Linked DNA regions of Arabidopsis thaliana. The protein of the gene in region 2 binds, or shares a complex with, the protein of the main gene of each other region. Each region holds a gene or a part of one and is shown on either strand. Other genes may lie near its edges.

Region 1 (4,974 bases), 4.8 Mb from region 2:
GGGTCACTCTCAAACTTCAAAATCCAGAATTTATGCTTGATTCAAGATCAAAAGATCTCAAATTTCAATCTTCCAAGCTCGAATTCTTCTGTTGTGACCCCAGAAAACGAGCAACTCTCGCTGTCAGGAAACTCCAAATGCGAAAACTAACACGAGCAAGAAACGAATTTTTTAATAGAAAACAAAATAAGAAACAAAAATTAAACACGGAAACTCTAGAAAATTTGTTTAAAAACAGAAGGCACCAAATTTCTTCTGGATAAGATTTGAAATCAATTTCCAAAAGGGAACCAATTAACCATAATCTCAAAGAAAAGTGCCAAGCTGAGAACATAGAAAGGGGAAAACAGTTTTCCTCAATTTCTCTCAGATTAATACCCAACAAAGAAAGAAAAAAAAGCCACCTTTGAAATTGAAGAAATACAAGAGAGAGACGGTAAGAAGATTTACATAAACGAAGATTTGCAGTTTCTTTTTTGGTGCTCGTCTGGCTTTCTTTTGTTTTTCCTGTCTCTCCCGTTTTTATGTTCACGACTTGTCTGTCTGATCGTTTGCCTTTGTTTATTTCACTTTTTATTCACGTATTTATCACCCTTCTTTATATCCTCCACGTATCTTAATTAAATCTAACTTGTTCACTTCAATCACATATTGTATCTTCATTAGTCTTCATTATGTCGACTAAATAAAATAGAAAAAACAAATCATTAGGTTCATGATTGTCAAAAAAACAATTATAAATAAAACACCGTTCATTGTTGTCGATCAAATTGAAAATTTATATATTATATTCATAAAATTCAATTATTTATTCTGTTAAGCAATTCAAAAAAGTCTCATATATGTACAAAATTACAAAACTAGTTACATCAAAATCAAAAGTTATGATCTTGGGAATAACCTAGTTGTTAGTAGAATAATAGTATTGTTTTAAGCAATCATCTTAGATACGAGATGATCTAACTAATTATAGTTTAATCAGTCAAATTTATCACATAGGGAGCAGTCAAAATATGCATGGGAAAAGAGAAAATTGTGCACGTGACATGATTTGGTGTCAACATGTGAGCTTCCAAATGGATGGCTGTCAATCTTCGTATGTGATCTGTGTAGAGAGGACGACAAGACATAGACAGTCTCTTTGTATTTCAAACTTTCTCAATACAAATTTGCCGTGTCAGTTTCTATATTCCAAGAAACCTAAACAAAAGTTTTTTTTTTCCTTTGCTTTTTAAAGAAGACAATTGTTTGGGTTGTCTGAAGATTCGTTTAGTTTATTTAGATGTAATGAAGTAAACAGAAGATAATCAATCAGAAACGAGCCAATTCCAACACTTGTTGAGAAACCAGTATTGGAATCCATGGAAGGTAAAAAAAAAGGTAAGAAGCAGAGCTCAGACTATGAAGATCTACTAATTATGGCAAAGTCTCGGTCTACTAGATTTTTAAGAAAATCTGTCAAATTGCAAAGAGGAAGGCCATTGCCAAAATTCACATTACGGTGTCTTAAAAGTGTACATCACAAGATAACAAGAGACAAAAGGAAAATTTGCAGTGTTCTCATGAATTGGTTCAACCAAGGATGGGGAAGATGCGGGCAATGTGTTCCAAGGGAACATTCTCACCTGTATTTTTCTTGAGCTCCGGATGGTTAAATTCATTTTGTGGTAAGACAATACTTCCACCCTCTTTCTCAACAATCCATCCACTGTTAGTCACTTGCTGCTCGATGAATTTGTCTAGAGATGCACCATCCATGTTAACAGCCTGTGAAAATTGTCATTTATTGACAAATAAAAGGTCAACAAATTAGATTTCCAGAACTATGATGTGGAATATTCGTAACAGAAAATTATATGAGAAAGTAAAAGATTTCACATCCGAAGTTCTACTATTTTGATGACTTAAGCTATCCGTGGTGAAAACGAGATCATAAACCAAACATCATACCTCAGCCAGCACTGATCTTGGAACCTTTTGGTAGCTTAAGCTAAGAAGGTGACTTGCATATGCTTGAATAGCTTGCTCAAAACCTGCATTTAATCTCTCGCATATAAGACATCTACACTAGACACAATCATAAAATGAATAGACAGTACCATAAACCACTACTGAGGACTTTGTTCGTACCATAAGACATCTACACACAAATATCCTTAAGTAACAAATCTACATCTAGAAATTTGTTATTAGTAGACGATTTATTTATGATTCAGAAGTTAGTTACCTGGAACAGCCTCGAGAATGTGACGGTTCTTGGCAGCTTCATCCCAGAACTGTTGGAACCTCCCAGTCTGCAAAAGAAAAACAAGTGCTTTAAATACTCAATGCACACCTTTTCAACTCTCAACTAACTAATACTGATGTTTGCGTACCTCAAGGTAGTGTGATAGAACAATTAGTGACTTGAACTGCTCCTCCATTTGCTGAAACACACAATCCAAACAAGTACATTTATTAGTCCTCAAGAATCCAACACATTGAAACTCACACTTTATCATGAATGCTCAGTACACAGACTGAACTGACAGAAATAACTTGGAATGGCATAATAACTTGAGTCAGAAACATTTGAACAATCGTTTCTTCTGTATCTACGATAAGCTATATATGTAAGAAAGCAAAACATTGTGAAGTTAAGAGGAAAGAAGAATACCACTCTTTCGGGAATCAAGAAGAGGCAAAGGCTGAAGTCTGGAGTTGGCATAGCCATAAGAGCCTTGACCAAGATTCGAGCCACGATATGAGTGTTCATGCGCTCAGGCTCAAACTGCATAAAAGCAACAATACCAATTAACGAAAAGAGACACTAAAACTCTTGAATTTGGTATCAAAAGGTCCAGCTTAAGAACAACTAGAGCACCTGATAGAGCCGAAGCAAGCATAGGTTTACTTCCAGACTATACGTTTGCGATGTAACCTGAAAATCATAACGAAACCAACAACAATCAATGGAACACGATTTCTACAACAGAATCCGGCTTGAGAGAAAAGGGAAAGGAAACTGCACGTTAACGTAGTTTTCGAGATCAGGCAGGATTTCAGGGTTGAAAGGATTAAGGGCGACGAGCTGCTCAACGGTGTAAGAGCTCTGTTCCTGCGGCGATTGGATCTCTACTCCCATCTCTGCCTCTTTCTCCTTCTCCGTTTCTGTCCCTTTTGCGTCGGTCTCTTCGAACTTTGATAGATCACTGAGGAATGTGCAGAGGAGATTCGCTGATAAGACGAATCTAGGGTTTAAAAGCCAAAACGACAAAGCTTTGTCGTTTGGGCTAATGGTGCAATTGACAAAACGTTTGGGTTAAATTAGGATGACAGAGAAACTACAAAGGGTTGTTTAGTAAATAACTATTTTTAAGCCATTTTGATGCCACAGACTCGGTAAATAAATATTTTCTCAGTTTGCTTTTAAAGATTGATACTACACTAGAGTTTGCATTCGATTAACCATGGTCCAAAAGTTCACCAGTGAACATCTTTTCAAACAAAACTGTCAGCATCTACGAGTTCTCTGATCACAACTTCATGAAGTCTCACTTTGTTTCCAGTAGAATAATAAATGTGGATATCCTTCAAGAGTATAAAATCATAATCTTTCTTTTTTCAAATTTCAATATATACAAGTAATCTTTATATTCACGAAGAATGAATCCTTTGGTAATAAAATAAAAATAAAAATATATAGTTTCTTTTTGTAACAATCAATGGGTTTTCCTTGTTGTTTTAGTCTTCAACAGCTTCATCGAATACGATTCACATGAGAAAATGGCTCGGCAACTGCTTTTGGTGCAGCTTTTTTTGCAGTCTCTGGTACTCCAAAAACGTTCCAAAACCTCAGGGTCTCGTCTCCTGCTGCTGAAGCTACAGTACAACCATCTGGACTCTGTAGAAAACACAACAAACAACACAAGTTTAAGGACTGAATGACCTCAAAGACTCAAACTACTTCACCACTTAAAGAAATTGATGACGTTACCTGGGCCATATATAGAACTCTTGATGTATGACCAGTGAGCTCAGCCATTTTCACCATGGATGGGTACTTCCAAAGTGTAAGCTGATTCTGTGTAAACCCATGTGAGCTAAGCAACTCTCTTTCATTCTTGCTCCATAACAACGAACAAACTTGGGAACCAGTGTCTACTGAATTCAAGCAAGCCCCAGTGTGAGTATTCCAGAACTTTATCGTCCTGTCTCCTCCACCACCACCAGTTGCAAGCAAATTCGCTTGGAAAGGGCACCACGCAAGAGCCTTCACAGCAGATGTATGTTCCTCAAGCCTGTGCAGCCATTGTGTGGTTGAGTTTGAGGAAGCGACAGAACGATCCCAGATGTGTACCACATTGTCGTTGCCACCACTTGCTAGTTGTTGTCCAGATCCTGACCACTTGAGCCCACAAACTTCTTGAGTGTGACCTCTGTAAGTTTCCACAATGGGTGATCTGATCCTCACATCATTGTTGATGATCAGTCCATCCATTCCTCCAGTAGTAAGGATATGATTGTTCCATGCCAGTGATCCTACTCTTGACTGGTGACCACCCTTTAATGTTCTCAGCTGCAGAAATATGAGAAACACATCAGACTAAGAACACCGGATATTATATCTCAACATAAAAGAGAGAGAGTAGTAATTACTTGACGGTTGGATGCAGAATCCCACAGCTGGACTTCAGAGTTGTTGAGTCCAACTGCAACATGACGACCATCAGGAGCCCAGTTGATACTTGTGACAGGTCCCTTCTCCTCATCAATGGTCACAAGCTCAGATGTAGAACCAGTGGAAGCATCCCACAAGTAGACAGTGTGGTCCAACGCTATGGCTAAGACATTTGCACTTCCCCAGTCCAGCAAGTTGAGGTAGAAATCGTCAACAATGTCAGGTGCATCCAAGGTTCTCTCAGAAGTCTGTTAATCACAACAGAAAGTTTAGCAACAGATCAATACAACTCTAATGCAGCAACCAGTAAGTGA
Region 2 (8,763 bases):
CTATTAATGTTTCGATCCAACCTATTCAGATCATAGTAGCTAGCAATGCACAACAGTCTCATATCCTTGCTTCTTCCCACACTGTGGAAGAATCGGGTCCAAAAGTTGTAGTTTTCACCGCAAAGGAATCGGTTGCAGAATCCGGAATCAGTAGTAGCGGGGTCGAAACCGTAGTATTGGAAAAGATAAACTTGGATTCCATTTTGGATTATTGTTACAACCGTGGACTATGCAGTGTCTTGTTAGATTTGAGGGGGAACGTCAAAGACCTTGAAGTTCTTCTGAGAGATGGATTTGAGCAGAAACTATTGCAGAAAGTAATTATTGAGGTCTTGCCGGAATGGAGCACAAAAGATGAGAGACAGATCGCGTCGATGAAGTGGTTAGAATCAAAGCATGTGAAAGATTTGCAGTCTAAGCAATTAGGTGGAAGCGTTTTGCTAGAGGGCTATTTTTGATGTTTTCATGTATGAATGAATACAAGTCATGATATTTACCTTTTTTAAAGCATAGTATTATTAAGGTTTTACAGATCCTATTATTAATAGATTGATAACAGATTTTTGAGAAAATGTTGTATTTTCAAAAGAAAATATTTTCACATGTTGAGAATCTGATTCGACCTTCTATGGCCTACACATGATGGGTATCCTAAGATGAGATGTTTTTTCTTAATTGGAGTTCATAAACCAAAACCCATAAAAAAAATTAAGGATGTGTAATAGAATGTGAAGTACATTCAATGAGAACTGATTGTTGATGTCGATTGCGTTACAAATTTGACAATTCTTTTTGGATTTTGGTGGAAATGTGAACTAACTGACAACAAACATCAACCATGTTGGATTTGTTTTTGTCAAAACCGATATATCTAGAGATATTCGAAAGAAAGAACGAAATAAACACTATACAATAGTCAATTTTAAATCACTTTATGATTTAACAATCCTAAGTTCCTAACTTCAAATTTAAGATTTACAATAGCATGAATTTTAGTCTTTCTTATTGTTTCATAGCATTATTGTATTAAAAAATTACTCTACAGTTACACCATCTCTCTTTATAATGGTTGTTTCAATTGAGTTAATCATTTACTATTAATCTGAAAATTTGTAGTATGAATGTTATTGTTGGTACACAAATTGGTGATGGAACAAAAGATTAAGAGGATATCTTTTATGTCGACAATGGTCGAGTGGTTCAACAAAATCCACGCAATCGCCTGAGCGAAAAAGTTGACCATACTCAGCCCCACCACTCTCCACTTCATAACCTTTTTCTTTTATCCTTCTTCCTTTTGCATTTATACAAGTATTTTCCAATGACGGAATGCAGAAAGAAAAAAATTTGTTAAGCAAATGTCATAAAATATAAAAATATCTATAGCAAGTGACTGTAACTACGATTAACTCAACCGATTGGAGAATTGAGTAACTTATATCGAACTCAAGTTCGAACATACGCTATATATGAGAGTCAAAATTATTGATCAAAATATGCAATGTAATGGTCCAAAATTCAAAATATTACCAAAAAGAAATTCTATAAGTTAATGTTGGAATTATGATAATAAAAAAATACTAATTGATAGATATGAAACAATTTAAGACGATCCATTTGAGACCCGGGAAATAGATTAGTTTATCAAGTATTAATTTATAAAGATTTTACTTTGGACTATTTGTTCAAAAAACTACGTGATGATGAGTTTTCTATGCAAAATCAATTACCGATATGTGGATGATTCTTGTCTTTTGTAGTAATGTTGGTTATCTTTCACTCTTAATGAGAGGTTTAATATCATGTGAGAGTTAACGAGCTTCTTATTTGAGTCAATTGTAGATAAATAGCTTAACATATGCCCTTATAAACTAGCGTTGATTCTCAATCCAATTTGAAACTATTAACAGAACCATTAAAAACTATATATGAACACATAAAATATATAATTGACCATAACGACGAGTCAAGATATATATTTAAAGAACTTACTTTTTTCCACTTTGTTTTGCTTTTTTTTTTTTTAGTCTTTGGTACATATATATTACAAACCCTTTTCCAGTAAATAGTTAGCACAAACTAATTATCAGATGTCACTTAAACCAACCTCCTTCTTTATATAAGCTTGGTTAACATTGAGTTTGTTATCATGGTCTATGTGAAACAATTCAGGAATAAAAAAAGAAATGGAGCCGAGCCATTCAAACACAGGTCAATCAAGATCTGTAGATCGCAAAACGGTTGAGAAAAATAGAAGGATGCAAATGAAGTCTCTCTACTCAGAACTCATCTCTCTTCTTCCTCATCATTCTTCTACGGTTTCTTCCTCTTGGCCCTCTTATATGCTTATATAATCTAAGATTCCATGTATGGGTGATGATCTTAATATTCTAAACTCTTTTATTATTTCATGTTAGGAGCCTTTAACACTACCTGATCAGCTAGATGAAGCTGCAAACTACATCAAGAAGCTACAAGTGAACGTGGAGAAAAAGAGAGAAAGGAAAAGGAACCTCGTTGCGACTACAACTTTGGAGAAACTGAATTCCGTCGGATCTTCATCGGTTTCGTCGAGCGTCGATGTCTCCGTGCCAAGAAAGCTGCCAAAAATCGAGATTCAAGAAACTGGTTCCATTTTTCACATCTTTCTTGTGACAAGCTTGGAACACAAGTTTATGTTTTGTGAGATCATTCGTGTTCTCACCGAGGAATTAGGAGCTGAGATCACTCATGCTGGATACTCCATTGTTGATGATGCTGTCTTCCACACCCTTCACTGCAAGGTATAATTCGGAAAGTAAAACATTTTTTGCAATGGAATTTAAGAATCAAACTTTGCTACTACTACTATGTTAAAACTAGGTCTAATCCAGCTTGTATACACATTGGGAATGAGTTCAAAGTTAGGGAATGATATTTATACTTGTTGTTTTTATATTTAATAAAACTTGCACTCAAAAACGCTAAGAAGCTGCATGTTCCCATCTGATTGTTAAGTTTCTACTAGCTGATTCCTATTAATATCCATATGTTAGTAAACTAAATTTAATTTATATTTTATATAGGTGGAAGAACACGATTATGGAGCTAGGAGTCAAATTCCTGAAAGACTGGAGAAGATTGTGAACAGTGTTCACTAATATTGATTCCTTGTTCCTTTATTAAAAAAAAAAGTTCTATGTTTTTGTTCCTTTTCTTGAATTATTTTTGGTGTTAGCTAGATTCCTTTTCTTGAATTGTATCATGTGCTGTGAGAGTGATGTTTCATTTGTAAGCATAATATATACTTTTCTCTACTTAAAGCTGTGAAATATATTTTGTTTTTTGGTATCAACAAAGCTGTGAAATATATGAAACTTAGGATGATGATTTTCAAGAACGAAACCAAAAAAAAAAGTTTCTTAGAATTAATACATGAACGAGCGAAATAACTTCACCTTTTTTCAATGTGTTATACTTGCCCAAGCATTTGTAATCTAGTGATAGGAGAAACTTTGGTGATAGGTGAAACTCTCAGATCCGAGTTTGAATATCCCGTGGTATTAGTTAGAAAACATTTAAATTCGGGACAGATAGTGTTGTGGTCCTTCGGGAAAAGTTTACTTCGGAGCACTTTGGTGCGTTTCTATCGAAGCTGACCAGATCAGCAAATAGAGTTTATCAAAAAAAAATGTGTTATACTATTTCAAATTGATGAATTTGAATTCTAAATTTTTATTTTATTTTATTTTTTTCTCAAAGTCAGAAATGAAAAACATGATTTAAGACTTCAAGTGTTATATATGGGTTTTGAAGAATACTAAAGCCCATGAGCCCAAACATTAACAAAAATGTTTTTTTCTTGTACCTTCTCTCTTCAACGTAGACTAAAGAATTAGGGTTTCCGCTTTCCACACACACAGCTGCAACACTATCTTCTCAGAAATGGTAACCGAAGCTTTCGAATTCGTCGCCGTTCCTTTCAATTCCGATGGCTGGGGACCTCCAGACGCTTCCGACGTTTCCTCCTCCGCCTCTCCCACCAGCGTCGCCGCCGCTAATCTTCTCCCGAACGTTCCTTTCGCTTCCTTCTCCCGTTCCGATAAGCTCGGCCGTGTAGCTGATTGGACTCGCAATCTCTCTAATCCATCCGCTCGTCCTAACACCGGATCCAAATCAGATCCGTCTGCAGTTTTCGATTTCTCCGCTTTCGCAATCGACGAAGGCTTCGGTCTCGCTTCCTCCGGTGGTAATCCCGACGAAGACGCAGCTTTCCGTCTCGTCGACGGTAAACCTCCGCCGCGTCCTAAATTCGGACCTAAATGGCGTTTCAATCCTCACCACAATCGGAATCAGCTTCCTCAACGGCGAGATGAAGAAGTTGAAGCTAAGAAGCGTGATGCTGAGAAGGAACGAGCTCGTCGTGATCGTCTCTACAATAACAACCGTAACAACATCCATCACCAACGCCGTGAAGCTGCCGCTTTCAAATCATCCGTTGATATTCAGCCGGAGTGGAACATGCTTGAGCAGATCCCTTTCTCAACATTCTCGAAGCTCTCGTACACAGTTCAAGAACCAGAAGATCTTCTTCTCTGTGGTGGCCTTGAGTACTACAACCGCCTTTTCGATCGCATAACGCCGAAAAACGAACGCAGACTCGAGCGTTTCAAGAACAGGAACTTCTTCAAAGTCACTACTAGTGATGATCCTGTGATTAGGCGTTTAGCTAAGGAAGACAAAGCTACTGTTTTCGCTACTGATGCTATATTAGCTGCTCTTATGTGTGCTCCTAGATCTGTTTACTCTTGGGATATTGTTATTCAACGTGTTGGTAACAAACTGTTCTTTGACAAGAGAGATGGATCACAGCTTGATTTGTTGTCTGTGCATGAGACATCTCAAGAGCCATTGCCTGAGTCTAAAGATGATATCAATTCTGCTCATTCTCTAGGTGTGGAAGCTGCTTACATCAATCAGAACTTTTCGCAGCAGGTTTTGGTTAGAGATGGAAAGAAGGAAACTTTTGATGAAGCCAATCCATTTGCTAATGAAGGTGAAGAGATTGCTTCTGTTGCTTATAGGTATAGAAGGTGGAAGCTTGATGATAATATGCATCTTGTTGCGAGGTGTGAGTTACAGAGTGTTGCTGATCTCAACAACCAAAGGTCGTTTCTTACTTTGAATGCTCTTAACGAGTTTGATCCTAAGTACTCTGGTGTTGATTGGAGACAGAAGCTTGAAACTCAGAGAGGTGCGGTTTTAGCTACAGAATTGAAGAACAATGGAAATAAGTTGGCTAAATGGACTGCACAAGCTTTATTGGCTAATGCTGATATGATGAAGATTGGTTTTGTCTCTAGGGTTCATCCTCGTGATCATTTCAACCATGTTATATTATCTGTTTTGGGGTATAAGCCGAAGGATTTCGCTGGACAGATTAATCTCAACACTTCTAACATGTGGGGGATTGTGAAATCCATAGTTGATCTGTGTATGAAACTAAGCGAAGGGAAGTATGTTCTTGTGAAGGATCCATCGAAGCCTCAAGTGAGGATTTATGAGGTTCCACCTGATGCTTTCGAGAATGATTACGTTGAGGAACCGTTGCCTGAAGATGAACAGGTTCAGCCAACTGAGGAAAACACAGAGGGAGCAGAAGCAAGTGTAGCTGCAACTAAAGAAACCGAGGAGAAGAAAGCTGATGATGCTCAAGCTTGATGGTTATAAAGTCAGGTAGTTCATACAAACAACTCTCAAATTCAAAAGGCGGTTACCATAATATGCTTGTTGGATTTGATTGAACACTTGTTTAGGATCGTGAATTTATACTTAGAACCCAAGAAAATGCAGAAAGTTGGTTCTTACTTCTTAGCCATAGAATCTTGTTCTTATTCATCTGAATTTCATTCTTATAGTTTAGAAACTGGTGACTTAGATTAATTGATGATCTTTATTATAAGTATAAACGTCGTATGAAGCATCGTCATTCACAATTTGGATACTATATTCTTCAGGTCCAAAGTCTACACCTTTCGTTTCTGGGTTCTTTTGAGAGTTGAAGCTTCAATCAAACAACAACAATGGAGGTTCCTTTTTTAATTATCTTGTCCTTTTTCAAATTTTTGTGGTACTGCTGTAATTTTAAGTCAGAAATGAGATTGTAGAACACTATCTTCGTGACATCTTTTGGAAAATCATTACGGATTGTTTACAGAACAGAAATCTTTTTACTATGACTCTTATAGCCACCAAATTTTCTTGAATCATTTTGCATTAGTTTTATAAAATTTGGTATTTTATGGTTCCAACTTTTGTTTGTTTCGGTCGTTTGGCGTATTCTCTTATGAGCTTGATCCTATTGTCCTGGTCGGTTTTTATCTCTGTTAAACTGACATAGATCCTATTGTCCTGGTCGGTTTTAATCTCTGTTAAACCGACATACTTCACATATATTTATTATTATAAACCCCAAATTAGAAAACTCAACCAAAATGGTTTTTACTAAGCATTCAGTTTTTTTTTTTTTTTTTTCATGTTTCCAATAGTAACATCAGATTATTAACTAATAATCGTAGCAACGGCAAAAACCATATCAGAACAGCAGAACAAACATCCCCCAAAAGCCTCCTCTTAAATAGGTTGTCTCTAAACCCTTCAATCTCCAAAACATAATAACATACTCCATTAAGCAAAATCTAATCTCGAAAGAAGAGAAACATGGATACCAACGCAAAAACAATTTTCTTCATGGCTATGTGTTTCATCTATCTATCTTTCCCTAATATTTCACACGCTCATTCTGAAGTCGGTATGATTACTACATCTCTATTGCATTCTAGTAAAATTAATCTTTTGTATCAAAATTCAGATTTAATGATTTGTTATTAACTTTAATCTGAAAACAGACGACGAAACTCCATTTACTTACGAACAAAAAACGGAAAAGGGACCAGAGGGATGGGGCAAAATAAATCCGCACTGGAAAGTTTGTAACACCGGAAGATATCAATCCCCGATCGATCTTACTAACGAAAGAGTCAGTCTTATTCATGATCAAGCATGGACAAGACAATATAAACCAGCTCCGGCTGTAATTACAAACAGAGGCCATGACATTATGGTACGTAAAACTTTATTATAGAATTCAGTTATTCTCACTTAACTATATTATTATTACAACACTAATCATTTGAAATCTTAAAGGTATCATGGAAAGGAGATGCTGGGAAGATGACAATACGGAAAACGGATTTTAATTTGGTGCAATGCCATTGGCATTCACCTTCTGAGCATACCGTTAACGGAACTAGGTTTGTTGTTTTCATTTTTAATGAGCATTTTCAACTATAGACCCATATTAAGTGGTATTTACACGATATTTGGCATTATTACAGGTACGACCTAGAGCTTCACATGGTTCACACGAGTGCACGAGGCAGAACTGCGGTTATCGGAGTTCTTTACAAATTAGGCGAACCTAATGAATTCCTCACCAAGGTATCATATTTAGATTATTGTTAAACATTGTATTTATAGAGTTTGTTATTGATTTGTTATTTTCAAATTTATAAAAAAAATGCAGCTACTAAATGGAATAAAAGCAGTGGGAAATAAAGAGATAAATCTAGGGATGATTGATCCACGAGAGATTAGGTTTCAAACAAGAAAATTCTATAGATACATTGGCTCTCTCACTGTTCCTCCTTGCACTGAAGGCGTCATTTGGACTGTCGTCAAAAGGGTATTTATATTTTTGTTTCGTTTTTATAGTAATTTTCTTCTTTATGCATTACATATTCATTTTTTTCAATATTCAAATTGCAAAATACATCAGTAATTTTTTTTACGTCGGTATATGTAGGTGAACACAATATCAATGGAGCAAATTACAGCTCTTAGGCAAGCCGTTGACGATGTAAGTAGTCGAAATTTGCTAATGTAGTTTCATTAGCTAATATTGATTTTATTACTAATTTAGTTAGTTGACTGATCAATAGGGATTTGAGACAAATTCAAGACCGGTTCAAGACTCAAAGGGAAGATCAGTTTGGTTCTATGATCCAAATGTTTGATATATTTACTTCTATTATTTTGTAATTTATACCCTTTTAACAAAATTATCATTTTGTAATATTTGAGATTTTTTTCAAACTTTAATAAAGAAAACAATTGATGAGTATTTTTTTTTAATATACCATTAGTATTCCACTATAATAATCATCATCGGAAAAAAAAAAACACGCCTGATTACATCAACGTTGCTAAAACAGTATGTCCTATAAAAGCTAGGCAAGCAGTGTTAGCTACTAAATCCAACTCTAATCAAGCAGTATAAAAACTTGAAACAACAAATAAACATAAATATGTATGGTCAAAACAAAAAAAAGTGAGAAGGAGTCATATGTTCCTTCAAAACCTTTTCATTTCCTGATGTATTCAATACAATTAATGTATTCCATCAAGAGGATTAATACATTCGATTAATATCACTTTCTTTCACAAATGTTTTTTTTTTTTGACAATTATATCATCAAGCCAATCCATATCGAAGAATCTATACTAGTCCCTAATACGATAACCACGTGACAAAAATGTTTACACAAAAGAAGCTTTGGTAGCAATTTGTCTTGGTTTTACTCATCTCTCATTCGATACGGTAGAAAACAAAGTCGATCCATAATGAACAATAATAGAGTATCAAAAACAAGGAAGATTATACAGTCGAATGAAGGTGAAACCCCTGAAATAAGCAATCAGAATCGCAATATGAACCAAAGAAGC

What was found. The genes of interacting proteins can lie anywhere in the genome.
Region 1: AT4G20980 (region 2) and EIF3K share a complex: the UniProt entries of both Arabidopsis thaliana proteins name them as parts of the eukaryotic translation initiation factor 3 (eIF-3) complex.

What each region holds. Positions count from the first base shown.
Region 1 is NC_003075.7:16,037,494-16,042,467, forward strand, and holds EIF3K (eukaryotic translation initiation factor 3K), read right to left. Parts: upstream 3,316-4,974; 5' UTR 3,125-3,315; coding exon 3,011-3,124; intron 2,921-3,010; coding exon 2,864-2,920; intron 2,771-2,863; coding exon 2,657-2,770; intron 2,427-2,656; coding exon 2,376-2,426; intron 2,295-2,375; coding exon 2,228-2,294; intron 2,034-2,227; coding exon 1,951-2,033; intron 1,768-1,950; coding exon 1,573-1,767; 3' UTR 1,158-1,572; downstream 1-1,157. Other genes in the region: CDC20.2 (Transducin family protein / WD-40 repeat family protein), read right to left, coding at 3,740-3,883, 3,977-4,558, 4,639-4,908. UniProt on the Arabidopsis thaliana protein: Component of the eukaryotic translation initiation factor 3 (eIF-3) complex, which is involved in protein synthesis of a specialized repertoire of mRNAs and, together with other initiation factors, stimulates binding of mRNA and methionyl-tRNAi to the 40S ribosome.
Region 2 is NC_003075.7:11,213,073-11,221,835, forward strand, and holds AT4G20980 (Eukaryotic translation initiation factor 3 subunit 7 (eIF-3)), read left to right. Parts: upstream 1-3,808; 5' UTR 3,809-3,924; coding exon 3,925-5,700; 3' UTR 5,701-5,715; exon of another isoform or gene 5,716-5,996; 3' UTR 5,997-6,106; exon of another isoform or gene 6,107-6,308; intron 6,309-6,495; 3' UTR 6,496-6,566; downstream 6,567-8,763. Other genes in the region: PyrD (Cytidine/deoxycytidylate deaminase family protein), read left to right, coding at 1-458; AT4G20970 (basic helix-loop-helix (bHLH) DNA-binding superfamily protein), read left to right, coding at 2,187-2,318, 2,418-2,783, 3,066-3,140; ACA4 (alpha carbonic anhydrase 4), read left to right, coding at 6,700-6,790, 6,888-7,102, 7,186-7,292, 7,377-7,479, 7,565-7,723, 7,844-7,897, 7,980-8,054. UniProt on the Arabidopsis thaliana protein: mRNA cap-binding component of the eukaryotic translation initiation factor 3 (eIF-3) complex, which is involved in protein synthesis of a specialized repertoire of mRNAs and, together with other initiation factors, stimulates binding of mRNA and methionyl-tRNAi to the 40S ribosome.